Danio rerio: one gene and its partners. Each later gene encodes a partner of the first gene's protein in a complex. Links are inferred from orthologs where the notes say so. Each region holds a gene or a part of one and is shown in the gene's direction. Other genes may lie near its edges. The genes, in order: eftud2, rbmx2, sf3b5, rbm48, cwc22, ppil2 and crnkl1.

Evidence for each region.
Region 2: eftud2 (region 1) and rbmx2 share a complex: the UniProt entries of both Homo sapiens proteins name them as parts of the minor spliceosome. The link is inferred for Danio rerio from reciprocal best matches to the Homo sapiens genes EFTUD2 and RBMX2.
Region 3: eftud2 (region 1) and sf3b5 share a complex: the UniProt entries of both Homo sapiens proteins name them as parts of the minor spliceosome. The link is inferred for Danio rerio from reciprocal best matches to the Homo sapiens genes EFTUD2 and SF3B5.
Region 4: eftud2 (region 1) and rbm48 share a complex: the UniProt entries of both Homo sapiens proteins name them as parts of the minor spliceosome. The link is inferred for Danio rerio from reciprocal best matches to the Homo sapiens genes EFTUD2 and RBM48.
Region 5: eftud2 (region 1) and cwc22 share a complex: the UniProt entries of both Homo sapiens proteins name them as parts of the minor spliceosome. The link is inferred for Danio rerio from reciprocal best matches to the Homo sapiens genes EFTUD2 and CWC22.
Region 6: eftud2 (region 1) and ppil2 share a complex: the UniProt entries of both Homo sapiens proteins name them as parts of the minor spliceosome. The link is inferred for Danio rerio from reciprocal best matches to the Homo sapiens genes EFTUD2 and PPIL2.
Region 7: eftud2 (region 1) and crnkl1 share a complex: the UniProt entries of both Homo sapiens proteins name them as parts of the minor spliceosome. The link is inferred for Danio rerio from reciprocal best matches to the Homo sapiens genes EFTUD2 and CRNKL1.

The regions. Positions count from the first base shown.
Region 1 is NC_133178.1:15,080,201-15,084,270, reverse strand, and holds part of eftud2 (116 kDa U5 small nuclear ribonucleoprotein component), read left to right. Parts: intron 1-1,407; coding exon 1,408-1,579; intron 1,580-1,666; coding exon 1,667-1,745; intron 1,746-1,818; coding exon 1,819-1,894; intron 1,895-2,040; coding exon 2,041-2,106; intron 2,107-2,884; coding exon 2,885-2,920; intron 2,921-2,999; coding exon 3,000-3,090; intron 3,091-3,208; coding exon 3,209-3,291; intron 3,292-3,511; coding exon 3,512-3,678; intron 3,679-3,834; coding exon 3,835-3,959; intron 3,960-4,070. UniProt on the Homo sapiens protein: Required for pre-mRNA splicing as component of the spliceosome, including pre-catalytic, catalytic and post-catalytic spliceosomal complexes. Component of the U5 snRNP and the U4/U6-U5 tri-snRNP complex, a building block of the spliceosome.
Region 2 is NC_133196.1:41,946,891-41,950,579, forward strand, and holds part of rbmx2 (RNA-binding motif protein, X-linked 2), read left to right. Parts: intron 1-160; coding exon 161-212; intron 213-312; coding exon 313-442; intron 443-2,614; coding exon 2,615-2,795; intron 2,796-3,689. UniProt on the Homo sapiens protein: Involved in pre-mRNA splicing as component of the activated spliceosome. As a component of the minor spliceosome, involved in the splicing of U12-type introns in pre-mRNAs.
Region 3 is NC_133188.1:27,082,170-27,086,702, forward strand, and holds the start of sf3b5 (splicing factor 3B subunit 5), read left to right. Parts: upstream 1-1,233; 5' UTR 1,234-1,409; intron 1,410-4,533. UniProt on the Homo sapiens protein: Component of the 17S U2 SnRNP complex of the spliceosome, a large ribonucleoprotein complex that removes introns from transcribed pre-mRNAs.
Region 4 is NC_133194.1:42,804,429-42,809,089, forward strand, and holds the start of rbm48 (RNA-binding protein 48), read left to right. Parts: upstream 1-1,445; 5' UTR 1,446-1,522; coding exon 1,523-1,648; intron 1,649-1,784; coding exon 1,785-1,975; intron 1,976-3,827; coding exon 3,828-3,973; intron 3,974-4,057; coding exon 4,058-4,617; intron 4,618-4,661. UniProt on the Homo sapiens protein: As a component of the minor spliceosome, involved in the splicing of U12-type introns in pre-mRNAs.
Region 5 is NC_133184.1:45,364,150-45,368,219, reverse strand, and holds part of cwc22 (pre-mRNA-splicing factor CWC22 homolog), read left to right. Parts: coding exon 1-66; exon of another isoform or gene 67-157; intron 158-685; exon of another isoform or gene 686-871; coding exon of another isoform or gene 872-892; coding exon 893-945; intron 946-1,029; coding exon 1,030-1,128; intron 1,129-3,501; coding exon 3,502-3,756; intron 3,757-4,070. UniProt on the Homo sapiens protein: Required for pre-mRNA splicing as component of the spliceosome. As a component of the minor spliceosome, involved in the splicing of U12-type introns in pre-mRNAs. Promotes exon-junction complex (EJC) assembly.
Region 6 is NC_133180.1:13,584,526-13,589,198, forward strand, and holds the start of ppil2 (RING-type E3 ubiquitin-protein ligase PPIL2), read left to right. Parts: upstream 1-1,537; 5' UTR 1,538-1,645; coding exon 1,646-1,677; intron 1,678-1,982; coding exon 1,983-2,032; intron 2,033-4,673. UniProt on the Homo sapiens protein: Has a ubiquitin-protein ligase activity acting as an E3 ubiquitin protein ligase or as an ubiquitin-ubiquitin ligase promoting elongation of ubiquitin chains on substrates.
Region 7 is NC_133195.1:52,274,526-52,279,257, forward strand, and holds the start of crnkl1 (crooked neck-like protein 1), read left to right. Parts: upstream 1-1,849; 5' UTR 1,850-1,900; coding exon 1,901-1,948; exon of another isoform or gene 1,949-2,404; coding exon 2,405-2,557; exon of another isoform or gene 2,558-3,261; intron 3,262-3,491; exon of another isoform or gene 3,492-3,523; intron 3,524-4,732. UniProt on the Homo sapiens protein: Involved in pre-mRNA splicing process. As a component of the minor spliceosome, involved in the splicing of U12-type introns in pre-mRNAs.

The DNA.
Region 1 (4,070 bases):
CCTATTACATTAACCCTTAATTGCCTGCTCAAATCGTTGACCAGCTTTTGACTTTTAAATAATGACTTTTAAAGTCATTTTAAGAATGACTGTTTTAATAATGGTTTACACGACACAGCATTGTTGGTTTATAAAATAATCAAACAAATGTAATCCTGTTTTGTTACTACACTCAATTTTGGTTTTATTGATATATATATACACACACACACACACACATATATACATACATATCTATATATATATATATATATATATATATATATATATATATATATACATATATATATACATACATACATACATACATACATACATACATACATGCATACATACATATATATATATATATATATATATATATATATATATATATATATATATAAGAAAACATGTTAAATGAGAATCTGAAATATTTTTTGGCATACTTCAAAAAATAAAGATGATATAGTATTCAAAAACAATTTATTTTGAATATTTTTTTTAAATAAATATGTCTTACACTTCATATTTTCAGATTTTTCATTGGATATGTATTAATTCCGGTAATTTTTCCATAAACGGACACATCAACCTCTACCAAATGGTTGATATTTTGTCGCATGTTGAAAAAAAATTCATTGGATGTGTTGACTAGTGACATTATGAGTTAAGAAATGCTATCCATAGTATTTTTTTCTTGGTGGAGCAGTTAAAGGGTTAATATACCATATTCCTAAATTATACGTATATTAATATACAGAACTCATTTAAATGAGGACAAAAGTAGCAGGTCAAATCGCCAGGGCTCTGATTTATCAAATTTGCATAGACAAGTTCTTAGTAAGGAACATACATCAGAATAAAGTAATTTATTTATTGATGATTAGCTCATTTAAAGTGGTTTAAATCAATATTTAAATTAAATATGTTTGCTTAGAGATTAATTACAGCTGTGGACACTCTCCTCTCAAGCTTATAGATCACAACCTTTGAGTGGCTAACGCATATTTCTGCCCATTTTGTGCATATGCCATGTTCATCAATGAGACCCCAGAAGAGCAGTTACACATAAAGCCTAATTACACAATTAGGATCAAAGCCTAAAAGGGGTCATTTCAAAAAGTTATGAAGCGTTATTTGTGGAATATTTTTTTTTATAATTATTACGTTTTTTTTCTATGTTTTGGGGGGAGGGGAGCACTGGGAGCAGAGAGAGGGGAAGTATGGGCATAGGACCTCAAGCCGGGAATCGAACTCGGGTCGCCCTGAGCACTATGGTGCTATATGTCAGAGACTTATTTTACATCTAGTAAAAATGAGCATAATAGGCCCCCTTTAAATTGTTCAGCTGAAGCGTGTAGAGTCAGTGGTTGTTTTTATGCAAAAATCAGCTCCTTGAATTTGATGTACATTTTCTTAAAACAGGCGGATGAGGAGGATGACGATGATGACCAGGCTGAGGCTGATGAGGATGGAGGAGGTGGTGGTATGGAGGTGGTTCTGCATGAGGATAAAAAGTATTATCCCACTGCTGAAGAAGTGTATGGTCCTGAGGTGGAAACTATTGTTCAAGAAGAAGATACACAGCCGCTGACAGGTAACAGACACGCTGGTGGAAGAACAGTTTGTTTATCGCATGCACACTCAGTGGAAAATCAATGTATCTGACTTAATTGTTCCTCAGAGCCCATTATAAAACCTGTGAGGATGAAGCAGTTTACTCTGATGGAGCAGGAGCTTCCAGCGACCGTCTATGACATGGAGTGAGTTTATGATTGGGTTTTTTCCCCTCTTTGTTTGAATTGCATAAGCTTACATGCATATATCTTTTGATAGATTCCTTGCTGATCTTATGGACAGCTCAGAACTGATCAGAAATGTCACACTGTGTGGACACTTACACCACGGCAAGGTAAAAGACTTCATTATGCTGATTCAGTTTTTTAGATGATGTCTAATTAATTAAGGAGCATCATGTGGGGGTTTTCAGAAGTTGTATGTGTTCAGTTCAGTAGTCATTTTGAAAGCATTTAAAAATGCTTTTGTTTGTCCCTACAGACATGTTTTGTAGACTGCCTCATTGAACAGACTCATCCTGAAATCCGTAAGAGAGATGACGAAGATGTAAGTGTATAGATAAGTATTTGCATTTTGTTTCGATATATATAAATTTTTCTTTGTGAAGGAAAAATACATGCATACATTTAGACCGGATGGATGGATGGATGGATGGATGGATGGATGGATGGATGGATGGATGGATGGATGGATGGATGGATGGATGGATAGATAGATAGATAGATAGATAGATAGATAGATAGATAGATAGATAGATAGATAGATAGATAGATAGATAGATAGATAGATAGATAGATAGATAGATAGATAGATAGATAGATAGATAGTTAAAAGTAATCAAACTAAGAACATCAAGCATAATCTTTTCTTTACTTTAAACAATGATGGAAGTATACTTGACTCATCTTCTTTTTATCATCTTTTGCCTATTCCGGAGTCAAGTATATAAAACAAAAACAACTCCTAATAAAAGTAATATTGTAGTAGTTTATGTACAGTGGTGTGAAAAAGTGTTTGCCCCTTACTAATTTTTTATTATTTTGCATGTTTGTCACACTTTATTATTAAAATAAAGTATATATTTGTCAGAGAAACACAATTAAACACTTCATGTAGTTATTATTAAAGGGGAAACAAAAAACAAAACAGTGTTTATATATACACTGTATGTGCATTCTTCCGCACACCTGTAGTTTCATATAAATTTAAAACATGAGTTATTACTCATTTATAGCAACATTTTGCACTGAGGCGTTCTTTGTTTGTTCAGCTTTACAGTCATGTGGTGATGTATTAAAATATTGGTGTTTTCTTCTTTCCACAGTTACGATACACAGATATCCTTTTCACTGAGCAAGAGGTAAACTGAAATAGGATATTGATTAAACATTTCTCTCTCAGTGATGTTATTTAAAGTTTTTTTTTTTGCTTTTTGATAGAGAGGGGTTGGCATCAAGAGTACTCCTGTAACCATGGTGCTGCCGGACTCACGGGGCAAATCCTACCTCTTCAACATCATGGACACGCCAGGTACTTTCCTGCCCTATAAAATCACTTACAGATGCACACTAAATACATTTGTGCACCGGCATGTAAGAACAGGTGATTTTATCTCTCATACTTCTTTCTCGTACTTCACATTCTTTAGGTCATGTGAATTTCTCTGATGAAGTGACATCTGCAGTTAGACTATCTGACGGGATTGTGCTTTTTATTGATGCTGCTGAGGGGGTGAGTTCACACACACACACACATAAATATTGCCTATGTGCTTTTTCACACACATGCATATTGCTTTTCGCTTCAAGACTGTAAGTACTATGTTGTTGTCATTAAAATACACTGATAAATAAATCTTAGTCACTGAATAGTTTGTATATTAAACTATCTGTGTTATGCAAGACTAATCTTTCTTTAGCATGCCTTTAACTGTTTGTTTGGATATGTTCAGGTAATGCTGAACACTGAGCGACTGATCAAGCATGCAGTGCAGGAGAGATTGGCCATCACTATCTGTATTAATAAAATAGATCGTCTGATTGTGGAGCTCAAACTGCCCCCTACTGATGCCTACTACAAATTGCGCCACATTGTGGATGAGGTCAACGGCTTGCTGAGGTACCCCACAGTACTTGAAATTAATTGTTTTGGTTGATCGAGCATGCTGATGGTACTATTTGTGTTTCACCTGCTTACGTTTGAAGCAATAGCTGTGAGATCTGTTGTTTTTAGTTAGCAGTTTTGTCTGACTGTGTTTGTTTTTCTCATTGGCAGCACATATTCTACAGATGAGTCTCTGATTGTGTCGCCTCTGTTGGGGAACGTCTGTTTCGCTTCCTCGCAGTACTGCATTTGCTTTACTCTCGGCTCCTTCGCCAAAATCTATTCAGACACCTACGGTGAGATCATTTTTTTAATTTAATGATCAGCACTCTAATAAAAAAAATATTATGCAAACATGTAAAATGAATAATGTAGTTTTTAGATGACTTAATACATCTAATTCTTAA
Region 2 (3,689 bases), on another chromosome or scaffold:
GTGTGTGTGTGTGTGTGTGTGTGTGTGTGTGTGTGTTTGTGTATATATATATTTATATAAATATGTATATATATATATATGTGTGCGTGCGTGTGCGTGCGTGTGTGTGTGTGTATTTATTTTAAGTAATGTAAATATGTATATTAATATCAATCTGCAGGTGGATTTCCATATGAGCTGACAGAAGGAGACATCATCTGTGTTTTCTCTCAGTAAGCCAGAGTGTTCATTTTAAACATGTCTTTTTGTGCTAAAGACGTCAGTATTTATTTTCTTTGCTAGTAAAGCTTAATCCTCCTCTGTGAATGTCAGGTATGGAGAGATTGCCAACATCAACTTGGTTCGAGATAAAAAGACTGGCAAATCCAAAGGATTCTGTTTCCTGTGCTATGAAGATCAGAGGAGCACTATTCTGGCTGTCGATAACTTTAACGGAATCAAGGTGAAACGCTTTTCTAGTGTCTTTTTAGTGATGTGGTCTTTTTCAACCTGAATTGTATTTTATTCAGATGCAGAAGAGTTCAGATGCAAAAACCTCTAAGTGCCATCTGAAACGTTCTCCTAAAATGAGCATTTATCTCAGCTTCCTATGTTTATGTTCATATATTTAACTTCAAAGTCAATGAAAATAACTTATTCGTCACTATTTTATCACTCATTTTAGAAGAAAATATCAAATGGCTTTTTGCATCTAAACTTTTCACATATACATATATACACACACACACACACACACACACACACACACACATATATATACACATGTGTGTGTGTGTGTGTGTGTCAGTTCAATAAAAAAGTGGCAGTTTATTTATTTAATACCTGGAAACAAAAAATGCACTTGACTATAGAAAGTGCTTTTTACTACAGTGAACAGGTGGGTTGAGCCTATTTGCCTTATTCAGAACTCAAATGGCTATGCCTGTCTATGGAATACTAGTATACAACCCATATTAGACACTATTAAATTACTACTTATGAATGTAATATTAGGCTTTATATTATATTTATAATATTTATATTTATAATAGATTTTTTTTTCACCATATAAGGAGGTAAGCCCCCCTAAAATGAAAATCCTAAAATCACCCCTAATGGCGGACTTTGTAAGTGGAAAAACTGAAGGCTTCACTAGAAAGAAAACAGTTAAACAGAGCATCTACAGCGCCAGAATGAGAGATGAGCCTCCTCATTGTTTACTTTCTCTTTCACTCTCATGGATAGGGAAAAATGTTGTACGCACAGATTTCCATTGCCCTATACATAATTAATTTTGTTTGTTAAGCACAAAGAGTTGTTTCAAAACTACTTCTAAATTCAATTCTAATTTCCAGCAAACGAATAAATGAACAGTAATAATAAAGTGTGGTCAAAAAACTGAGTTATATCCAAATACACATGCTGTGCCCAATATGGTCTAAAACCTGACAGGTGAACAAATCTAAGCTTGTTTTTAGTAAAACAAATTTAAATATGCATATAATAAATACTACTACTATTAATAATAACATTATACAAAAGCAAATTGTTATGAATAAACTGAAAAAGCCCCCGAGATAAAGAAGAATGAAAGTATGTTTTTTATATTTATGTAGGCTAGAAAATAATAATTTTTGTAATATTTTAATCCTTTATTTTTTTTATTTGTGAAGATATTTGCGTATTGCTGTACATACTCTGTGTATTAAGAAATGTGTAAGCGAGGCGCACAACTAATGCGCTCTGCGCTGGAAAATAGACCAGCTTTGATCTGATCCATTTGAACCTTCTATTTAAGTTCCTCAAAATAGCAACGCGCCAGCAATGCACCTCAACATGCCTCCTTTTTTAGACCTGAACACCTATGGGCGCACATATGAGCGCAAATGCATTTGCTATTTAAACACCGTGGTGCAAAACGTCGAAACGACTCGTGTCGAGCTGAAACTAGCAAACAACAATTGCTTTGCATATGATAGGGCCCAAAGTGTCCAGGCCTGGTCCTCTCTTCTCCTTTTATTATCAAGAGCTCCTCTGTGGGACTCAAAACCAGTGCGGCAACAGGTGCTGCTTCTCATCTCTCACGCTCTCACCCCCGCCCCACTCTCTAGTCTAATAACATTTCTTTCGAATATAAAATAATTTAGAGTTTTTTAAATTGACAAAATAAATGTTTTCATTGTTTTCAAAATCAGGGTTATTGCACCAAATATGGCTTTCTTAACTCCTTTGCAGTTAAGCATTGATATTTTGTGTGTTGTCTAAATAAAAATGACCAGAAAAATGCCTAAAACATGGCAGCTTTTTTTTTCCAATTGTCCTTTTAAGCTCTAAATGACAAATTTATTTTAAATTGAGAAGAATGTCACCTGTTTTTTGCAGAGCAAAACTAAAACTCGAACACATAAATATTTTCTAAGTTCAGAGAAACAGAGACTTTCCAAGTGGTCTCTTAATTTATTTCTTAGTTTTACATGTAAAATGCATAATACGATTTAAAAATACAAATGAATTGTAATTCAGATATTAAAAACATGTTTATCATATATTTAGTTTATTTTTATAATACATCTAGGAAATAATATCATCATGTCATTGCCTTATGTATTTGCTATTTGTTTTATCTACTGTTAAGATTAAGGGCCGGACCATACGTGTGGACCACGTAGCGAATTATCGACCACCGAAGGACACTGATGACATTGATGACATCACTAAACAATTACGCGAGGAGGGATGTGCTCCTAAACCAGTTTCATCCTCTGAGGAAGAGTCTGCGGAAGAGTACGCTGTACCTGTGAAGAAGCCTAAAAAAGGTGAGAAGACTCGTCTGTTGTGATTGGTTTACTGCGTTCAATTCGAGAAAGCAGAAAAACGCCCACCCTGGTTATGTACTATTAAGACTAAAGTGTATATGTGAGCACAAAGCAGGAATGCATTAAAGCAATTCAGTTAAACACCTACAAATGTGGAGGAGCAGCGGCTCTACTCCAAGCTCCTCTCGGGTGAAAGAGCTCCTCACCTTATCTATAAGGGTGAGCCCTGCCACCCTGTGAAGAAAACTTATTTCGGCCGCTTGTATCCGAGATCTTATCCTTTTAGTCACGACCTAAATCTTATAAACATAGGTGAGAGTAGGAACATAGATTTACCGGTAAATCGAGAGCTTTGACTTTCGGCTCAGTTCCTCCTTTACCACAATGGACCGATACATCGAGCGCATTACTGTTGCCGCTGCACTGATCCGCCTGTCAATCTCACGTTCCATCCTTCCCTCACTTGTAAACAAAACCCTGAGATACTTAAACTCCTAAGGACTTTTCTCCACCCTGGAGATGGCAAACCACCTTTTTCCGGTGAAGCACAAAGGCCTCGGAATTGGAGGTGCTGATTCTTATCCCAGCCGAGTCACACTCGGCAGCAAACCGCCCCAGTGCATGCTGAAGGTTCATGTTCGATGAGGCCAACAGAACAACAACAACGTCTGCAAATAACTATAGTCCCTGAACCAGACCCCCTCCATTCCAAGACTGCGCTTTGACATTCTGTCCACTAAAATTATAAACAGAATTGTTTACATAACTAATACAACCTTTTTGTGTGATAAGTGTTACCAAAGCTGTAATACATAAATCTGCTTTGAATACATGAACACAGAGAAATTAGCACAATAAATTTTTTTGCTGGACTTGTCAGCTGCTTTTGACACT
Region 3 (4,533 bases), on another chromosome or scaffold:
AAGGTGGATATTATGCACATTAAAGCAGGTATATCAATAGTTCACACAAATTGTTCACAACAGAGATGCATTCACAAACGAATTGCTCCCTTAGTTGGCATTAGAAGTGGAAGTGGACGATGAAGTGTGTTTCAGGACATGGATTAGATCAAATTTAACAGGTAGGGAGGATAATACATTTCTATGGACACGAACACTCGCAATGCCCATGCAGTCACGTATCCATCTATGTGAAAAAGTGATGTAAAATTATAATTAAGCATTATTAACAATAATAAAAGCAAGAATAGAGAAATTATGTAAAGAGAAAATTGATTGATTGATTGATTGATTGATTGATTGATTGATTGATTGATTGATTGATTGATTGATTGATTGGTTGATTGATTGCAATTAAGTGTTGATGGAACACAGTATTTTTCAGCTGTCTCTCAGATATTGACAGGGATTCAAGATTCAAGGCTTGGAAATGGATTCAACCAGCAAGAACAGAACAGTGAACAAAAATGTCCTGGAAATAATTTTTTAGTCATCATATATGATATATAATAATACCTTGTGGTCATGTGCAAGTAACATAACTTTGTAAAGTTTTTAGAATGTAATATGTCGAGAAAAAAATAAGGTTACCTTGCAAATTTCCACCAAAAACAGTTCACATGGCAGGAGGGATTTCTTTGTTTATGAATCAATGGTAGAAGAAATGTTGAAGAAGTGCTGTTGATTGACTTTGTGACAACTAGTGGATTTTTTGGCATAATATAATTCAGTCAGACATAGAGTTGAATTAGGAACTTCTCTTGATAACATTAATATTATTATTAACATTAAATTAATAATAACATTAAAATTTCATTTAGACTGCTGATCGTAGGCTAAGCAACAATATCAAGTCAGTCAGAAGCCCTGGTGCTCTTTGGGTAATGCAAGAAACCTATTATGGAGGATTTTTACAATGTATGTAATTACATTATATAACCTAGAGATTTTACATAACATTATTTTATTACACATTTATCTTCTATTATTATCAGTGAAATGTTCAAGCTGTTGCTAAGCTGACTGTTTTTCCAAACCTCTGAAATTTCCTAGAGCAGTATTTATGATAGTCACGTAAGCTAATATAATGTAAGCTAGAATCAATATTCCACCTCCACACATCCCACATTTAAGGTATATGTAATACGGAGGATAAGAAGTCGTTATCACAATAATAAGGCCCAGCAGCATGAGCAGCGCTTTCCACCAGAGCGGAACTCTTGACTGCAGTGATATTTTCCACACATACAGATTTCAGAGTAACTATTTCCGGTCCGGTTGAAGTCACCTCGCACAGCCATTGTGTACAATAACTGCTGGGGGAATCATTCATTCGTTTTTCCATAAAACATCACAGTTTTTCATTATAGGTAAGCATACCGATAATATTTACAGAAATACCCACCACTAGTTTTAGCCGAAGGAGAAAAATAATTGCATTCTTTGAAGTAATGTAATTTTGCCACATTCGCATACCTAAGTTAGTTTGTTCACAGCGCAACGTTAGCTTACGTTATGATGATTGGTCTTTGTTTTAATTTATGAAATAAGTTATTTTTTTCTTTTCATATTTTTAAATGTTCATAATTTTGAATAACGCACGCATTTAGTCATACTGCGTTAAGTCAAGCGTGCTTTCAGGGTGCCCGCGGAGACCTAAAAAGATAGAGGTAACGTTAAAGTTAGTTTTATATTAGCACATTCTGACTTTCCCCTTAATAATACAGTTTCATAACAGTATTATTTGCAAACTCTAAATGGCGAAATCGTATTAGCAGCCAATGACTTTCAAAGTACAACATTGTTCCCTGTCAAATAAACAGTGTTAATGTTGTTTTCAAGTCACACTTGCATGCTAATTCCGATCGAATATTGAAAGTAACATGGTAAACATTATAGACACATCTAAATGAACAAATGTGTGAATATAAAACCAACTTTACCTCTAACAAATGTTTGAATATAAAACCAACTTTACCTCTATCTTAAAAAGTCTTATATTTCCAAAACACAATTGTAGACCTTAAAAAGTCTTAAATTTATTTAAATATGGTATTGTAGGTAAGCCTCAATAATTTTAAAACGGTCTTTAATTTTCCTTTTTTGTATCAAAGGTTACCCAATCAACCCAACACACACCCAATCATTAACAATACATCTCAATTAAACTTTTAGCAAAGCTCTATTTATAAGCAATATTATAACATCGTGTTGTGCATACAATAGTTTATTAAATTTTTTAACAGTTATTTTTTTTAAGTTATGTTGAAAAAAATGCATATATACAACTAGGGTCTGCTTTATTTGACACATTATTTAAAATATATATAATTTTATTTTTCCTGCAGGGCCATTAAAAAAAAAACCTATTGCGTTTATACCTATATGTGTCTGAAATCTCATTCTTGATGGTCTTAAAAAGGTCTTTAAAAGTTTTAAATTAGACCTGGTGAAACCTGCAGAAACCCTGGCTTTGTAAATGTGCAATACCTCTGAGCTACAACAACATGCTAAATGATCCACATTTGACTTCTTTGGTCAATTTTATCAATCTGGATTTGAATCTGCATTTATATCCCAATGCGTCTTTGAGACTAAACCGTATAGCGCTTTACGAAGCAAGAATTCAAATGGAATGCAGTCTATGTGTAGATAAAGATATGTAGTACTTGTAGAATACTGCATACTTGCATACTGTTATGCAAACACTGGAAAAATAAGTTATTTATTTTTGTTCTATGCTATTGATCAGATCTGTATTCTAGTTTGAAACATAATGCATTTATAGTTTATTTTTAAATTTGTTAATTTTATTGATTTACTTATTGCGCTACATTAAAACAAACCTGTCTCCTAAAACGGATCATAAAAGGCCCTAAATATTACTATACCGTAATAGTAGTTTTTGGAGAACAACAAAATAAGGATATTTAGACGTTTACAATGGCTAAAACACAAAATTCTTCCTATTTTTGAATCAGACATACCAATGTGTTTGTAAAATAATAATGATTTGATTATTTTTATTATTTTACAAGCACATTAGTATGTCTGATACAGTGTCATAGGGCTGCATGATATTGGAAAAATTTAACATAGTGAGTTAGATTGATTAGGATGATTGTAGGGGAGTGCATATGCATAAAATATAAACGATCTACAATTAACAAAAAAAATGGAATTATATAAACAGCGTTTTATTGTTGTTCCAGGAGTCAAACTGTGATCAGGTATACAGTAATTAAAATGTAAAATAATACTGCATAGTCTTCGTATTAGAACCAATTCAATAGAATTTGTCAAAGTTAAAAACAGTTCAATTTCTGAGGCCTGCACGCTTTTAAAACTCTCACAGACCCTTAAAAAACACTTAAAAGGATGAGTTATAATCCAAGCTCAACATAGGCCTGGGCAATATTGCAAAAAAAGGATCACAATATCAGGTTTTATATAGTTCGATATAGATAACTATTGAATATTTTTAACAGTACATTTGTGAATATTAGGATTTGTTTTATTTAACCACTTTATTTTAATTTACCAACATTACTGAGGCAAATAGTTTTAATAGTCAAGAACAAAATATTTAAACAGACTATCTGATCTCTTTATTATATAAATATAAGTGGTAAAGAAACTCCTAAACTTGATAAATAAAATGTTAAAAAGTGTACACAATGGCAAAGAGTAAACGCTGAACAATTAAAGCAAACTTTGAGGTTTACTGTATCATTATTCATACCTTAAACTCTGTCAACAAAACAAATTATGATAATCAAATCTGAGCTTTCAAGTAAAGAAACCGACCATCATTATTCAAATACATGTTACAAAATTGTGAGGTTGAATGACTTCATTACCCACTAAGCTAAAAAAAATCTTTCACATGGGGAGCTAGTGGCTGAGATGCACAAGAAAAGAAACCAGAAAGACTCTCTAGCGACATCCTTACATCCTTTTTATTTACAATCTCTTCACTGCTGCTCTATGGCACTCATTTTATGCCTGCTGTTATTCTGACCTGAAGTAACATGCGTGTGCTTTGTGTGAAGCTGACTGGTTAGCTTTAGGACTTGCGGCTTTCTTAAAGTTCTGATGTTTTTCATTTAAGTGTACCTTGAAAATGCGTGTGTTGCTTGCACACCATGTGCACATTGCTCCCATGTGCGTGTTGTGCAACTCGCGCATGCACCTTCATTGAAAACTTACACCCTAAGCTTATTGGCATTGCTTCCAAGGCACGTGCCCAGCAGCCACATCTTAATAAAACTATAACGCTTCATACCAAAACTTCTTAGCAGACATTTTTTATTATCGATATTGACAATAGTGTTTGATCAGTAAATACCGATATCCATTTTATCACCCAGCCATAATTCAACATTGCATATACTGGCAATATGGCTATTGCGAATGTTTACATTGCGATATCAATGCTGAAACGATATATTACGCAATCCTACCATGTCGCTATTATTGTCTTGTCTTTATGCA
Region 4 (4,661 bases), on another chromosome or scaffold:
AGAATGATGGGGAAAAGAGGAACCTCGTGCTCCTTTCTGTCAAGAATCTGTTGTCATACCTTATGAAATAGCAGCCTATGATAAAACCATTTTATAAAACGGATATGTCCAGTCCTTGCTGCTGATTGGTCATTAGCCGGGTTTTAATTACAACTACAGTAATGATCTTGTAGCAATACTGTGCAAACATGTCCGTGTGTTAGTATTAATATTTATTAAATGAAATATGAGTAGCCCCGCAAAATGTATGTATACGTTATTCATTTATTTAATATGTGTGTGTTTTGGGGTTAAAACTTATCCAGCTGCAGATATACACACGTTTCAGGCACACACGATCTAAGTTAGACGGGTGTTAATGTTATTAACCTCTTCTCGGACATCATCAATATATTTTACACATAAGGTTATTGTTAATATGTATTGTATAGGCAAACACTGTAAACAATAATGCATAGGCATACCATTTCACAAATATAGCGATCAAGACGGGCGAATGGGGAATAATCACCATTCAATATAATACACTGAACAGTTTTCCATCAGTCATCATAGATGATCAGTCATTATTTATCTGACAAAGTCAACATAGCAGATTCTCGTTTGCTCAAACATTTTAAACGATCTAATTTGGACAGGTTTAATTTATTTAATGGATGCATAATGAATGAAATATAGCTAATGTACAGGATAGGCTAATAGCCTACATCATTATATCAATGTAATGTACAAATCTTTTTACATTTAATAAATGTAAAACACTGTTAATCTTTTACTCCAGCAACTGAATAGTATATATTTGCTTAATTTTCTAATAATTTTTATAATGATCTCCCACATTAAATAGGCCTACTAGTAATTTATAGTAATATATTGAGTTCACCCCAAAAAATCAAATGGGCTCACTATTTACTCAGAGGTTCAGGTGGTTCCAAGCTTTTCTGAGTTTCTTTATTCTGCTGAACACAAGAGATGTTTTGAAGAATGCTGAAAATAATTATATGGAAGTTTTGTATTATATGTATTTTTAAAAATCCTAATTTGTGTTAAGAAGAAAGTAAATCAAAATGGTTTGGAACAAGTCAACAACCTAGTAAATAATGACAGAATTTTCGGTTTTGAGTGAACTAACCCTTTAAATGGGTAAAAAAAGAAGCTTGTTTTAAACGTTAAAAACTTAAAATAAATTTATAATATAGTTTATAATTAATTCGTCTGCATTTATAATAGTTGCGACATTTTCTGCGAGTTAGCATCTTACAATTTTGACTTTTGTCCAAATCTTTTTGATATTTATTTTATTTTGTTAGAAGTGTTTATCATAATTTGGATGTGTAAATGAATTATTATTATAATTATCATCGTCATTATCATTATAATATTTTTTTATCACCATCATCATTATTCTTCTTAATATTATTTTTATTAGCATCCTTTTGGGAAAGCGGGCTTTTATTTATTTTTTCTAATTGGAACTTTTATTTTGAAAGCCTGTTTTTTTTCGTCGCTGATTTCCACAGTGATGGACGGGTCAGTTGCTAGTTCCTCTGTGTGGGACACACAAAAAGTGTATAAACATCACGAGCAGCAAAATGTTGCCCAAACGCGACCAAAATACAGAGAAGGAAGACGCCTCAAAGCTGTTAAGGTCGGTTTATTTTATAAATGCCTTTATCTCATCGAATTGTGCAGCGTCAATGTAAGCAGTCATGTTGTCTTTAAGGTCTCTCTCACAAGAACTGAATCTCTGCTTATAAAAATAATGGCTGAATCGCTAATTTTAGGTGTACACCATCAACCTGGAGTCTCGGTATTTACTAGTTCAAGGAGTGCCCGCTATTGGAGTGATGGCTGAGCTGGTGCAGCTGTTTGCTCTGTATGGAGTGATCGAGGAGTACAGGCCACTGGATGAATACCCAGCAGAAGAGTTCACTGAGGTTTACTTAATTCAGTTCCAGAAGTTGACGAGTGCACGGTAAGAAAAGGCTGATTAAATCATGTCCCATGCGAGTCTGTGCCATATATTATATATTGTGCCATATTTTTCTTGTTGATGATATAATTTCAGAAAAGTATTCTTTGCATATTCTTAATAGTGAATCAAATTAGCAGCTAGTGACTATCAAAGTTCAACATTGTTCACAGTCAAATAAATAGTGGTAATGCTGATTTGAAGTCATACTTGCATGTGATTTCAAACCCAATATTAAAAGTACCATGGTAAACAATATAGGGAGCATGTCACAAGTTGTCATTGAAAGAATGTGTGAATCTAAAACCATCCTTACCTCAATGTACCATGTTGGTGCACTGCAGAGTCGCATTCACTTTTAGTTAAAGGGATAGTTGACTCAAATACTGTAACAATAACAATTTATTCACCCTCAAGTGGTTTGAAACACAAAGGAAGATATTTTGAAATCTGGAATCCAGTAACCATCAACTTGCATAGTAGGACAAATAAATAGTATTGAAGTCAATGGTTACCGGCTTCAAGCTTTCTTTAAAATATCGTTTGTGTTCAGCTCAGACGATGTTTGTGACATGTAACGGGTGAGTAAATGATGTCTATTTTTATTTTGGAGTGAACTGTCTTTGTAGGTTCCACAAAATGTGACTTAAAACATTATGATTCATTATTAAAATATTAAATAAACACATATAGAAAACTATATACAGTACACACACTACCATACAATTGTTTGGAGTCTTCCATTTTGAAAATGATTTTGAAAGAAGCATCTTATGCTCACCAAGTCAGCTAATATTTTTTTAACTAAAAACAAAGCATCAACAATCGGATGTATTATTACATTGTCACATTTTCTATCTTGTTTAAAAGTGTAATGTATTGTGTTGAGGATGAAGGGTAATTTTCATGCTTGGTACTCGCATTTATACATGGTTATTGTCACATGACTCTTCGGAAATAATTAATTTGCTGATTTGTTGTGCAGTATATAATTTCTAATTATTATCAATGTTGTAAAGTTGCACAACTTAACATCCAAAACATCTAAGGGTTTTTTTTTTTTTTGTTCAAGATTCTTTAATGTTCTTTAGTGTCTCTTTCTCTTTAATAACACTGTAAATCTCTTTACTGCCATTAAACATTTTAAGAATATTATAAAGAGTATTTATTGCTGATAATTCTATAAATACTTTTTTACATATTTTTTCCCCTCTAAACCAAAGCAAAAATCAAAGAATAATTATTTCAAATATATGGAATTAAGTAATCGTAGTTATTTTAATTATATTTTAATAAAACTATATATTTTTAGGATAGTGTCAAAGTAAAAATAGCTGTACTGGGATTTTTAAAAATATGCCTGACAAAAATTGTTTTTCTTATAAACTATTGTTACACTGAATGACATCCACTCACCGGCCACTTTATTAGGTACACCTTACTAGTACCGGGTTTGACCTCAGAACTGCTTTTATCCTTTCTGGCATGGATTTAACAAGGAGCTGGAAATATTCCTCATTAATTTTGGTCCATATTGACATGATAGCATGTCATTGAGCAGATAGGATGGATCCATGCTTTCATGTTTGAACTGGAGCAGATTGTCTCGACCATGTACATGCATAAATGAATTGAGTTGCTTTCATGTAATTGGCTGCATAGAAATTGGTGTTTACGAGCAGTTGGACAGGTGTACCTAGCAAAATGGCCAGTGAGTGGATATTGCCATGCTATATATATATATATATATATATATATATATATATATATATATATATATATATATATATATATATATATATATATATAATTTTTTTTTTTTTTTAAATTAATTAATTAATTTATTTTTTTACAGGGCAGCTAAAAGGCACACAGATGAAAAGAGCTTCTTCGGGGGTCAGCTGCATGTCTGCTATGCTCCTGAGTATGAAACCGTGGAGGAAACAAAGCAGAAATTACAAGACAGAAGGAGATATGTTAACTGGGCAAGCCGAAATGCAGGTATGGTAATGCATTGGTATTCTCTCTAAATAAATTGCATGTGTAGAAAGTCTAACAACTATCATATGCTTATTTTGTTTTCAGCACAACTACACAGTCAGCAAGCGGAAGTAAACACAGAGTCATCATCAAGCACAGACACACGAACAGCTGAAGCTCCTAAAATGCAGAAAAACCCTGAAGAAGCCAGAAGGGAGAACGTAAATTCTGACTATATGGGATTTCCTCTGTTGCCTTTGCCTCCAACAGCAGATATTTCTTATAGACTTCAAAATCATTTTACCCAGCCATCACAATTACAGTGGACCAATGAAACGACAGAGGATAAAATGGGCTCTCTGCATAATTTCATCCCTCCTGTACAAAAAACCTCAACGCAGAGTGAGTCTTCCTCATCTTCAGGTGTTAAAGAGGGAGATTTGAGGCAAAAACAGAAGATTTCCACTCCGTCTATTAGATTTATGCCAAGGACTACACATTTAGAGAGCAGAAAAAGGAAACTAGATGAACAAACCTTCTTTTTGAAAGAAGCAGATAAAACGGGGGTTCTGATTGGTCCAAAATTACCAGAGCTGCCCAAGTTGGACATGGAAGATTCTTCGTTAAATGTTACCGCCAATTTGATCCGTAACACCATGACCAAGGTTAGTTTTCTTATTACTTTCAACAATATTGGGATTGTTAACCC
Region 5 (4,070 bases), on another chromosome or scaffold:
AGTGACAGCAGTGACAGTGATGACGGTGTAATGCGTAAGATTAGGAGCAGTGTCATGCATATCAGGGTGAGTCACAAACACAGCATTTTTCTAAATATAATGTAATGGAAATATCATTACTTTAGGCATTTTCATAATTAAAACTGATTGATTGCTTGTAATTTCTGTCAGTTGGGCTTATAATTTATTTTCTGTCAGTATACATTTATTTATTTATTTTCTAATTTGTGTTAATGTAATTTGTGTTTTTTTTTAGTCACTAATCTGACCTTTTTTCGGATCAGCCAAAAAGGGGAGGAAACAAATGTAATTTGCTTTCCATTTATTACAAAAACAGTACTGCAAGACACTTGGTTTTAACAAACAGAACTTCAAATTTAAGTTTTTATTAAAAATAAATTGAAGAAATAATCATCTGAATAAAAGTAATTAGTAAAATGTTCAGTACTGTGAAAAATTATATATTTTTTTACACACAAAAAAAAATACATAAATAAATGTGTACTGACAAAAAAAATGATTTATATGTTATATGGAATGTAAGTGAATGAATCATACAATAAATTCATGCAGAATATTGTGAAATATCATTACTTGTTTTCTGTCTCTTAATAAACCAACTGTATTGATTTATAGATTGTTTAATTTATTTGGCCATTGATGATCAATAATGAAAACGGTTTAGAATTCTGTACTTTAAATGCGTAGATCTCACAAAAATGTGTTTAAACTTGAATTTGATTCATGCCATTGCCAAGAAACTCTCACACAGGTCTTATGAAATGCTGTTTATTATCATGAATAAAACAAACACTGTTGACACACAGCTAGTCAACAAACCTAGTGCTTGAGTTATGGCTTTGTTTTTCTTATGCTCTTGTGTCCATTTCAGCGTACCTCTGATGAAGAGACCAAAAACAGAGAAAGAAGCTCCTCACCTGACCGGTAAATCTTATTAGCATCGACTTAGCAAAATCAATGCAGAAATAAGACTTTTTTTAACAAAAATGTCATCTGTCTCCACTACAGGCATGAAAAGAAGTCAAAATCAAGATCCCGCTCAAGATCCCGCTCCAGATCTCGCTCCAGATCTCGCTCTCCTCGTGAACGTTATAGAAGGGCTCGTAGGTAAGTGGAAATATGTGCAATTCAGATGTCCCAGACAGATTAGCTGCCATCATTTTTTTTGTATTTTTCTGGACTATCCATCTGATTCATTTAAAACAGAGGTTTCCAAACTTTTCATCCCCCTACCCTCAAAGTAACAATGGCAGTGAATCGTGACCCCCAAATTCCTGTAAAAATATAGGTGTGAAATATACATATACAAACATTGCGCACACAGCAGTAGGCCTATATAAATTCAAGCATATAGACAACAAAAAAAGTGCAACATTATAACAATCATCAAATTTTTATAGTCATCTATTATGCCTAATTCTATTATATTGCTATTTGTTTAATTTAATATTAACCTCAACTATTGAGACCACTGGGCACAATGTTTTCTGCACAAGTCTATTCTTGGTTTAATTTTAAAGACCACCAATCAGAGATCATTCAAATAGTTAAGTTGTGGCCTGTATTTATTTTTAATGTATTTGATTTCCATAAAGGTGTCAACGTTTAACCTGGTGCTATAAACAGGGTTTGTACGGGTGCTGGAAATCCTGGAAAATGCTTGATTTTTAATATAGTGTTTTCAGGTAAGAAAAGTGCTTGAATTTTGGACAAAGTGCTTGAACCTGCTTGAATTTAAAATTGCAGGGCTCAAAATTGTGTCCATTTTGATTGCATATGCACCTGAAATATTATCTATGCAAGGTCCAAATATATTTTGGAACATTTGTGTGAGTGTATAAAATTGTTGCAGTGCGACCAGTTTTCACTGCAAAATGTTCACAGCATGCGCGTATTTAGTAGACATTCATGCAGAGAAACGCCAAACGAAGCACTCAGGAATAGTTTTAAACAAACATGTCAACTTGTTACTACACCCAAAAAAAATCTGACTGTAAGCTCATTTTTTGAGATATCAACTTTTGATAGAAAGAGTTAATATATATATTAACCATTTTTTGGGTGAATTATCCCAATAAATCTATGCTCCAAAGTATTCAATAGTTTAAGTTGAAATGTCATATTGTGTTTTTAAAAATAGCACAATGGATTTAAATGTAAAAAAGTACATACAGCGTATATAAACATATTTTACCATGGTTATTAGGAAAAGCATACAAATGCACCTTGAAAGTGCTTGAAAAGTGCTGGAATTTGAAGTTAGAAAAAATTGTAAGAACCCTGTATAAAATCAATCTGCTGCAGCTGACACTATTGCTGTGTTGTTAAATTAAACACAACAATACTATGAAAAAAAATAACTGAAAGGCTGACGGTTTTTTATTCGCATGTTGTTGTTTTTATGTAACTATAAATTACTATTTTTATTTTCTGTGTGTTATGGATGAAATATCGAAATTCTAATAGTTTATTAAAATTAATTTGACATTTAGAAAACACCAAGCGGCCCCTGTCATTGTTCATCGACCCACCAGGGGGTCCTGATCCCCACTTTGGGAACCAATGATTTAGAAGCTAAATTTATGAGACAGAAGCTTCGCTAAACAGTTTTGGAGAATTTCAAAAGTTTTAAAGAAGGCTACCGAGTGAAATGACTTGCCTTAAAGGAACTTTGATATTACATACATGTATACTAGCAAGCGAAATGCGGTGCTTGAATTATTTTCTTTTTCAGTGTGAAAGGGAACTGAACTAGAACAGATATGCCCAAACTAGAGCCCGCAGGCCAAAGTTGGCCCTTTGATTTGGCCCACCATCCCATCTGAGAAGAGGAGAATGTTGGGGAGATTGCTTTTAACAGAGATCATCATTTTGAATTAAACGTAATCTTTTTTTTTTTTCAAATGTTCAGCTACAACAAAGCAAACTGAAATTAAATGTTTCAATTAAATGTTGTAAATGAATCAGATTTTTAAAACATGTAACTAAATACTGTTTAAATACTCGATGGATAGAGGACAATGCACAAAACATTGCAAACAAATCAGTGCAAAAGCTTGACTTGTGTATTCAGCATTAAACTCTATTGTGTAAATAAATGATTGTTTTTGCTGTAAAATGTTCATTATATGTATTATTTTATAAATTATACTACATTAGTTTAAATAAAGCAGTGTTTTCTATTTATTTATTTTTTTAATATTAGCAAAATAAATTAGGAAATTACTTGTAGCAACTTTAATGTAATACAGTTTGCTATATTTACCTTCGGCCCACAGCCCTCAATCAAATTTGTTTTTTTGTTTTTTTTATAAGTAAAAGTTTGGGCACTTCTGCACTAGAACTACCAAGGCAGTCCTTTTGACTGTTTTTAAAATTTTGTAATTTAATAACTATTAAAATAAACCCATATAACTATAGTTCCCTGACTTGCAAATTTCCATTCTGGCATTTTTTTGTTCTCTATTGTCCTTGCATCAGGTCCAGGGAGCGAGAGCGGGACCGTTATGGTGATCGGGAGCGTTACGAGCGGCGCTCCAGCAGAGAGAGGGATTGGGAACACAGGAGGAGGGGAAGGTCAGCCTCTCCAGACAAAAATGATAAACCTCCCACTGAGGAGCCTCCAGTGAAGAAGAGGAAGGAAACGCTGGACCCCATCCTAACCCGCACCGGTGGGGCCTATATCCCACCGGCCAAACTGCGGATGATGCAGGCTCAGATCACTGACAAGAGCAGGTTGGTTTCACTTTACTTACCAGTTCTACACACTCATGTTTATTAATATCTACTCACTGAAAAAAAATTACTCTTAAGATTTACTTAATAAAACCTTCATAACATTTTGCACTAGTAAATTTCACTGTCTTATATCAAGTACAATTAACTTTTATGTTACAACCTCTTTGATGTTATTCTAAGGTAAAAGGTAAAACATTTAAGCGCTGGCAATTTACTATGTGATAATGGAATTAAAAAGACAAACTACGGAAATGCCAACAAAATTATTTAATTTACAAATGTGAAAAATATACAAATGTCCAAATATATGA
Region 6 (4,673 bases), on another chromosome or scaffold:
AATAAAAATTAAATAAATAAAAAAAATATATAGGGAACATATAAATTACAATAAATTTGTATAGGAAATTGATTCCAAAATTGCATACATCCTTATAGTTTTTTTAATTATTAAAGTATTTTAGGTTTTCAAAATAATGCGTAAGATGAATTTTAAACAAATAAATGTTAGGTTTATCAATGGACCACTTTTGTTTGTGCATAATAGAGTACACCCCATTTTGAAAATGAATATTTTTCTCCATTTCTTAGTGAATATAGGAAATGTATGTTGGTGCATTTAAACAAAACAGAGTTATTAAACAGATATATTTATTAAAAAAATATTTTGGTCACCAAACATATTTAAAAATTGAAAAATAATACAATTAAATTCAAGCAAAATATTGTGAAAAATGTACAACTTACAAAATTTCAACTAAATTTTTCATTTTATTTTTTTGCTTCTCTTGATTTTTCCTCTTTTTTAAACTTATATTTAATATTTTTCTCTAACATATACATTTGACTGTACTCGGTTTTTTGACCGTCATCATAAGTTATTTAGATAAGCTCCAGATTTGGCTTCAGTACTGACTAATCTAATGTATATGCACAAATATAATATTATATAGCTTCCTATTAAAAATATGAATTTAATAGAGTGATTTGTGAGGGGTGTAGCCTATATGTTGAGCACTGTATAATCATTAAATTAATAAACAAAATTTGCTCCAAAGTTTTATTATTATTATTGTATGTCAAAAACATCTTTACAAGAAAACTGCATTTTTAATTTTGTACGTTTAAATATAACATATTTAACATCAAACCAAAACATTTGGGAATATGTGCATTCAATGAGTATTCAGGTGTTTCAGCAATTCCTCTAATTCACAAAAAGAACATGCAGATTGCATGTCTAAAACGTTTTTAACAACTTGTTTCACGGGATAGATGAAATGAATTAGTTTATATGTAGGCCGCGCGGTGGCGCAGTTGGTAGCTCTGTTGCATCACAGCAAAAGGGTCGCTGGTTCGAGTTGACGTTTGTGGCATTTGCATGTACTCCTCATGTTGGTGTGGGTTTCCTCCAGGTGCTCCGGTTTCCCCCACAGTCCAAAGACATAGCTATAGGTGAATTGAATAAACTAAATTGGCCGCAGTGTGAGTGTGTGTGAATGAGTGTGTATGGATGTTTGCCAGTACTGGGTTGCAGCTGAAAGGATACAACATACGTAAACATATGCTGGTTAAGTTAGCGGGTCATTCCGTTGTGGTGACCCCTGATTAATAAAGGGACTAAGTTAAGCCGAAAAGAAAATGAATGAATGAATGAATTCATAGGTTTCATGTTTTTTTTATTTTGTGATCAACAAACATCAAACACTTTAAATATCCCCCTCATTATTGAGTATTATTCAGACATCCCAAGTTGAGCATAGACATAATTTACAGTAATTAAAAAACGAATTTTATGAACAGTATCTCAGTCAAAACCGAAGAGGACCAAAAAACATTTTGTTGTTTTAGGTCGGTTGCATTTACCGGTCGCGCCTAGGACACACCGGAAGTAGAGTATTTAAACAGTCGTGCGTTTGTGTTGCTTGTTTATAAACTCCTGAATTTTAATTCTTTTATTTAGCACCACCGCTTAGGTCGCAAAAATGGGGAAAAGACAGCATCAAAAAGACAAGATGTGAGTTGCTGGAGTGAAATATGACACGTTTGCTAACGGTTGAATTTTATTATTTCACTGAAAACTGAGTACGCTTCTTTAACTGTTTGCGTTGTTTGTATTATTTAGGGTTTGTAATGTTTTAATTTTAATTTTGGGACAGTAAGTCGTTCTTCATTCAGCTGCAACGACGGCATTTTGATTAATGTTCATGTATTAGATTCAGCGACGTAACATGAATTATCTAAAGAATGCAAATATGTAAATGACGACGTTATACTCTTTATACAGCTTTCAAATGATTTATTCAATACTCTGTTTTTCAGGTACATTACATCTACAGAATACACCCAGTTTTATGGAGGGAAGAAAGCAGGTATTTGCGTTAACCTGATGTAACGTTACTTCAAGTCATGTCAAGCTTTTGGGACTGTAGGACGTACCATTTTTGTTTCTTTATCAAATTAAATATAACTTATAAGTTACATAGAAAACATTTGAAATGCAAGAAAAGTGTCTATTTGAATATAATTTCACATATTGGTGAAATAGAAATAGTGTTATATCATTTAGCGTAAATATATTTATGCATATAGTCAGTAACAATTATGTTTGGGAAAATTATTCAATAAAAAAATAATAAAACACAAAACAGTTGTCATTTTTCTAGTGGGTCTATATATATATATATATATATATATATATATATATATATATATATATATATATATATATATATATATATATATATAGCAGTGTGATATGGCTGTATATCTGGTGGGAGATGTGCGTTGGCATGAGGCCGAGTGCCTTAGTGCCCCCGCCAGTGCCGATATACAGCCATATCGCACTGCTACGAGTGTGATATTGCGTTTATACAACAGTTTAACGGCATAATTGTGTATATAAAAACAAAATCAAACATGGAGATTCTCAAAAACCCTTTTGTATGAGGAACTACTTTCTTCCACCTTGGATTCAAATCATAAGCTGATAGCTAAACAGCTGAGCAAGCATCTTTTAAACTTTAGATCTGTAGTGTCTGCTTTTTTGCTGGTTGTATGTGGGCGGAGTAATACACAAAAAAAAGAGGTAAAGAGGCTTTACTGGTGCTGAAATTACTTAAATATATCACGGCTATTAGCCAATCAGATTCAAGAACCAGACAACTGTTGTATAAATATATATATATTGCAATAACTTGTTTGAATTTAAATATATTATCTTTTTATTGTTAAAGGCACTAGGTATCCAAACTTTTATTTTAATGGATAAAAATATTTTGTTTAAATGCACCAAGATTATTGGCTGTATTTTCTAAGACGTGGATAAAAATATACATTTTCAAAAGGAGGTTATACTCATTTATGCTGAGCACTGTACAGGGTTCATACGGTCATGGAAAACCTAGAAAAATCATTGAATTTTGACTTGACATTTTCCAGGCCTGGAAAAAAAGGAAAACCCACAAAGTTTTGTAAAAGTCATGAGCTGCGTCCCAAATGGCACGCTATACATTAAGCACTATGTACTTATGCACTAACACAGAGGTTCTCAAAGTGGGGGTCGGGACCCCCCGAGGGGTCGCGGGACAATGAATGGGGGTTGCCTGTTGATTTTCAAAAATCAATTAATTTTTATTAAACCTTAAGACTAACTGTATTTTATCAATAACCTACTGATGAGAAAAAAATAGTTGTTTATAGTTACTATAAACTATATAGTTACTATAGTAGCTTATAGTTACTAGTTCTATTGGATTGCGTCTTCTTGAGTAATTACATTATACTAAAGACACAGCAATACTGTCAGATGCAGCAGATTTTGGAACACCAGGTTAAACTTTCTAACCCATTTACAGCACTGACATACATAAAAAAAACAAAGAATAGACTTGGGTCTATTGGTGTGTGTGCGTCATTGCATACAAGGTTTCTGTATTTATAACCACCACCTCAGAGAATATTGGGGGTCACGAGTCACTGGCATTCTCATTTTGGGGGTCGCGGGCTGAAAAGTTTGGGAACCCCTGCACTAACACACTCAACAGCATAGTATATGTATGTATTGTCGTCCCAAATGGAACACTAACTGTTATTTTGCTAAACGGAAATTCAAACCATTTCCCTGATGACGTTTGATGGTTGCCATATTAGTAAAATAAATGACCAAAGGACCAGATAATATATGCAAGGATAACCGCATTCACCTTCGGGAGGCGCTATAATCACTCTTGTAGGATAATTTTGCTTTCACAATTCAAAATAAATAAAGTAATCCAACATGTGCACCCTATACCAATGCTCCTTCCGCTATGTGAGCAAATCTGAGATTGTTGAGTGCGTGAAGTGTCCAACATTCCACACTTCATTGTAATAGTTGAACGAGTGCATCATCCTGGTATTAAAATGCACTTATTATTTATAGAGTTTTCAGTGTGAACACACTACTTGCACTATTTATACTACAAAATGGCGTAGAATAGTGCGTAAGTATGCGATTTGGGACGCACCTATGGAAAACAGATATCTGTATACTTATAGGTTAGAATATAGGTTAGTTGTCTTGACTTCTATTCTGTCCTTGGCCAATCACATTCTCACATTATTAGTGTGGTTGTAAGCATTATCTACATAAGTTTTACATAGAAATGAATATAAATTTGGCGTCACGGTGGTGCAGTGGGTAGCACAATTGCCTTACAGCAAGAAGGTTGCTGGTTCAAGCCTTTGCTGGGTCAGTTGGCATTTCTCTGGGAGTTTGCATGTTCTCCTGTGGGCGACCCCAGATTAATAAAGGGACTTGGCCGAAAAGAAAATGAATGAATGAGTGAAATATAAATTTAAACTAAATAGATTGTTGTGTGTTTTACAAAGTGCCGTAATAAATTTGAACACTTATTGTTTTTCTTTTGTAGACTTTCTATATGTAGACATTGCATGGAACATTAGGTCATAAAAATTTACTTGAAAGTCATGGAAAAGTCATGGAATTTTTTAGTTGTAAAAATGTGTATG
Region 7 (4,732 bases), on another chromosome or scaffold:
TAAATAAAAATTTATATTTAAAACTAATATTTATTTTTATTTATTTTATTAATATTTTTGATTTCTTATTGAATATAGGCAATGCATTTTGGTGCATTTAAACAAAACAGATTTATTAAACAGATATATTTATTAATATGATATTTTAGTCACTAAACATATTTAGAAATAGAAAGATAATACAATAAAATCAAGCTAAATTTAGCTAAAGTAAATTACAACCTATAAAATTTCAACAAAATTTTCCTTTTTTGTTTTTGCTTCTCTTGATTTTTCCTCTTTTGAAAAAAAAAATTGTATTTAATATTTTCCTATAAAATTTTTTGGCTTTTCTAGTTTTTGGGCCGTTATTGTAAGTTGTTTTGTTTGATAAGCTCCAGATTTGGCTTCAGTACTGACTAATGTATTTGCACAAATATAATACTGCAGCTTCCTATTAAAAACATGAATATAAAATAAAGATTTTTGAGGAGTGTATGGTACAATACTTATTACAAATTACCATGTATTTTGTATTATGTTGCTACTTTTGTTAAAATTATTCACATTTAACAGATTATATAAGTGGTATGTAAACATTCGAGCACAACTGTAGACGTAATATACAGTTGAAGTCAGTTGAATTATTAGCCCCCTTGTTTATTTTTTCCCTAATTTCTGTTTAACGGAGAGCAGATTTCTTTTCAACACATTTCTAAACATAATAGTTTTTGCTAACTCATTTCTAATAACTGATTTATTTAATTAATCATGATGACAGGTAAATAATATTTTATTAGATAATTTTCAAGATACTACTATACAGCTTAAAGTGACATTTAAAGACTTAATTAGGTTAATTAGGTTAACTAGGCAGGTCAGGGTAATTAGGCAAGTTATTGTGTAATGATCTGTAGACAAAAATATAGCTTCATGGGGCTAATAATATTGACCTTAAATTTTATTTTATTTTTTTATTTATTTTATAAAAACTGCTTTTATTCTAGCCAAAATAAAACAAATAAGACTTTTTCCAGAAGACAAAATATTATCAGACATAATGTGAAAATTTCCTTGCTCTGTTAAACATCATTTGGGAAATATTTAAAAAAGAAAAAAAATCAAAGGGGGCTAATAATTCTGACTTCAATTGTACGTTATATGTTTTTCGTCTGTGTGCACGCACAGACTTATTTTGGTAAACAAATAAATAACAACTCTTTACGGTTATTTCATACACAATAACAAGCAATACATAATTAACAAATTAATAAAAATGGACATTCACTTACATTAAAGATAGGTCGGACTATAAAAAAATCTAACAGTGAGCGAATAAAGTTAAATAACATAACGTTACATGTAACTTTACTTTGAGCCTCGTCACTAACCTTTATAAAAACAAATAAACATTCACACACATTGAAGAAAATTCGGTTTAACAATAAACAGATCTAACAGTAAACAAATAAATAACAAACGTTTAAGGTATTTAATTGAGGTAAGTTAACGTTATTAATGTAAAATGTTGAGTTTTGAACTCAGTCACTAGCCAATAATAGGCAAAAATATTTTAAAACAACAAGCATTCACTTACATTGACAAAAAGTCGATACACAAGCAACATAAAACAATTAAACAGGTATTTTTGGTGTATAACAATAAAAAACTGAGTTTTAACAGCCTCAAACTGCTGACCTTTTATTTATTGATAACGTTAACCGCTAGCAAGCGTCCTGTCACCATGGTGAGATGCTCCGTGACGTAGATGCAGGCAAAGGTCACAGCGCGTCACGGCAGGCGCGACACACACGGCACTGAAACGTCGCTAACCTTACAGGTTTTAGCGGGCTTTCGAAATCTAAAACACAAGAACATACGTCTAATTTATTTTTAATAAAGTGTCAGGAGCGTAATAATCATGGCGTCCACCGCGGCGGGCAAACAGAGAATCCCGAAAGTGGCGAAGGTAAAACCTATATGATGTTTTTGTGAGTTAGCATTAGCATGTAAACAACGTGAAGTCGTGCTGACGTTACTTAATAATTAACTACTGTATATAAATGTGGTTAGTGGAGTTAAGCTTATTTTTTTATAATGTATTTGTGTTTGTGTTCAGGTGAAGAATAAACCCCTGTAAGTTAGCATTAGCATGTAAACAACATGTAGTTCTGCTAACGTTACTTTATAATTAGTTAACTGATGTATAATGTGTATACATGTAATCAGTTGAGTTAAAGGTTGTCTTGCTTTGTAATGGTTTTGTATTAATGCTCATGTGAAGAATAAAGCTGTGAGTTAGCATTAGCTTGTAAACAACGTGAACTTGTGCCACTCTGAAAATAACAACTGTATAATGTATAGAACTATAACCAGATGGGTTAAAGATTGTCTTGTTTTGTAATGGTTTTGTGTTTGTGTTCAGGTGAAGAATAAAGCCCCTGCAGAGGTGCAGATCACCGCCGAGCAGCTGCTCAGAGAGGCCAAAGAGAGAGAGCTCGAGCTGCTGCCACCGCCACCCAAACAGAAGATCACCGATAAAGAAGAGCTCAATGACTACAAACTGAAAAAGAGAAAGGTATGAAATGTTGTATCACCATGTAGTATACCATGGTGTCACTATATGCATATGTCATAAAGTAGTACTAAATTACTGTGCATGTACTGAAAGCTTGGTTCTGTCATGGCATATGCCTCAAAAATATACAGTAGTGTCACAATTGCTTATAGAATGTGCGCAGTGCTATCATGATGTTCAGAAAATATGGTATTGATATGGTGTGTAGATTATAAAAGATGATATCGCTATGGTTTAAATGTATTATTTTATTATGGTAAACCTCTAGAAAACATGGGCATTATCACAGTGCATATTCAGAAAACTCAGAGGATATGCAATGTCTTGTTGGGTTTATAGTTGACCAGAAGACAGTTTATATATGTATATAAAGTGGAAGTCTGCCTGTGTTTTATGGACTGCCGCTGTATGAACATTTCAAGAACGTATAAAGCATCCAGGTGTAACGCTTCTCTTCCTGAAGACGCAAATCACTCAGGCGGACACAGAGAACTGCGTTCTGCGTTGTTTATTCTGTAACAGAAATATACATCCTCTGGCAACAGTATGCATTTAAACATGCATCGCCTTTCTGCATTCAGCAACCATTTTCTGCTGTGTTGCCACAAAGTCATTTTAACAAAACATTATTTATTTACAAAAGGTTAACATACCTGTAACAGAAATATACATCATCTGGCAACAGTATGCATTTAAACATGCATCTAAAAAAACCAAACAAATAGTAAGAAATCACCCTTGCACATATTAATGTCATCATTCCAGCTACACCTAGCATGAGCAAATTAAACCACACAAAGTTTGTCACACACGGCAATCACTCGACAGATTTGATCTAAAACATCACTTAATGTTCATATTGGGCTTGTATGTGTTATTAATATGTGTTAAAATACAAAATTTGTCACATTTAGCTGGAGCACATTTTACCTACCGCCTTTCTGCATTCTGCAACCATTTTCTGCTGTAGGCGGGGTTTTGCAGGTGAAAGGTGAAAGAAACAATTACACACTGTTGCCACAAGAGGTCTCTCAACAGCCACAAAATAAACAAAATAACCCATTTTGGTGAAAGACAATTAAACATTATTTTAACCCTGTTACACAGGCACAAGAAATTAGACCATTTGTACCTTTAATAAAGATACATTTTTAAAATAATTTTTACAATAAAGAAGATGCAGTGTTTTATTTACATTTGATTTTTTTGCAATTCCTGTACCTGTTTGCTGTTTGACAAATTCATAAAGTAACAATACTTGTAATTTTTTGTTATTTTTTTATGCATGATTCAATCCTTTATTGCAATCAGTCTGAATTAATAAACACTTCCCAAATAGAGTTAAGGCATCTGATGGACCTATATTCATTTTGCATTATTTATCACAGAAAAACAAAATATGTCAATGTTTGATTTATTTTTCAATATCTTGCACCCCTAATGTTCATGCTTTGAATATGCTATGTCAACAAGGTACATCTGGTCACAACATGATGTTACCAGTGTAAAGGTTTTGTCAATTTGATGTTTCGCATTTGATGTTCGTTTCTATAAAACTCCTAGTATACATGTACTAAACTCAATAACACATGGTATTATTGTGATACATACTTTAAAAGCTTCATATACATAGTGCATCTGCAGAAAATATGTCATCAGTATATTATGTGTCAAAAAGAATAAAATTATATTAATATCTTAAAGTTAAAATGCCACTGTCAGTGGTATATAATTAGGGGTGCACCGATATGGGTTTTTTAGTGTATATCGATAACTAATAACTCTTCAGACTTGGAGGCTGATAGTCGATATATATAGGTCGATAATTATAAATGTTTAAAAATGTTATATTTTTAAACTTAATAAAAGATTGAACTGCTCTTATGAACTGAAAAGTCTACTCAAACCAAAAAAGCTATAATTTCAAAATTGCAAGGTGGTTATATAGACCTATATTCACGATTTCACATAAATCAGCATGCAAGAAAATTAATTATTTCCTTTTCTTCATAGCAAATTAACATGCAACTTCACTGTTGCATAAAAATAATAGGTTAAATAACAAAACAGGATTTAATCAACAAGCAAGTTAAATATATTTAAATAAGATGAAAATGAAAGAGCTAACAACTGAAACCAGCTCAATTGTTCTTGAATAAAACGTGTTACATTGAT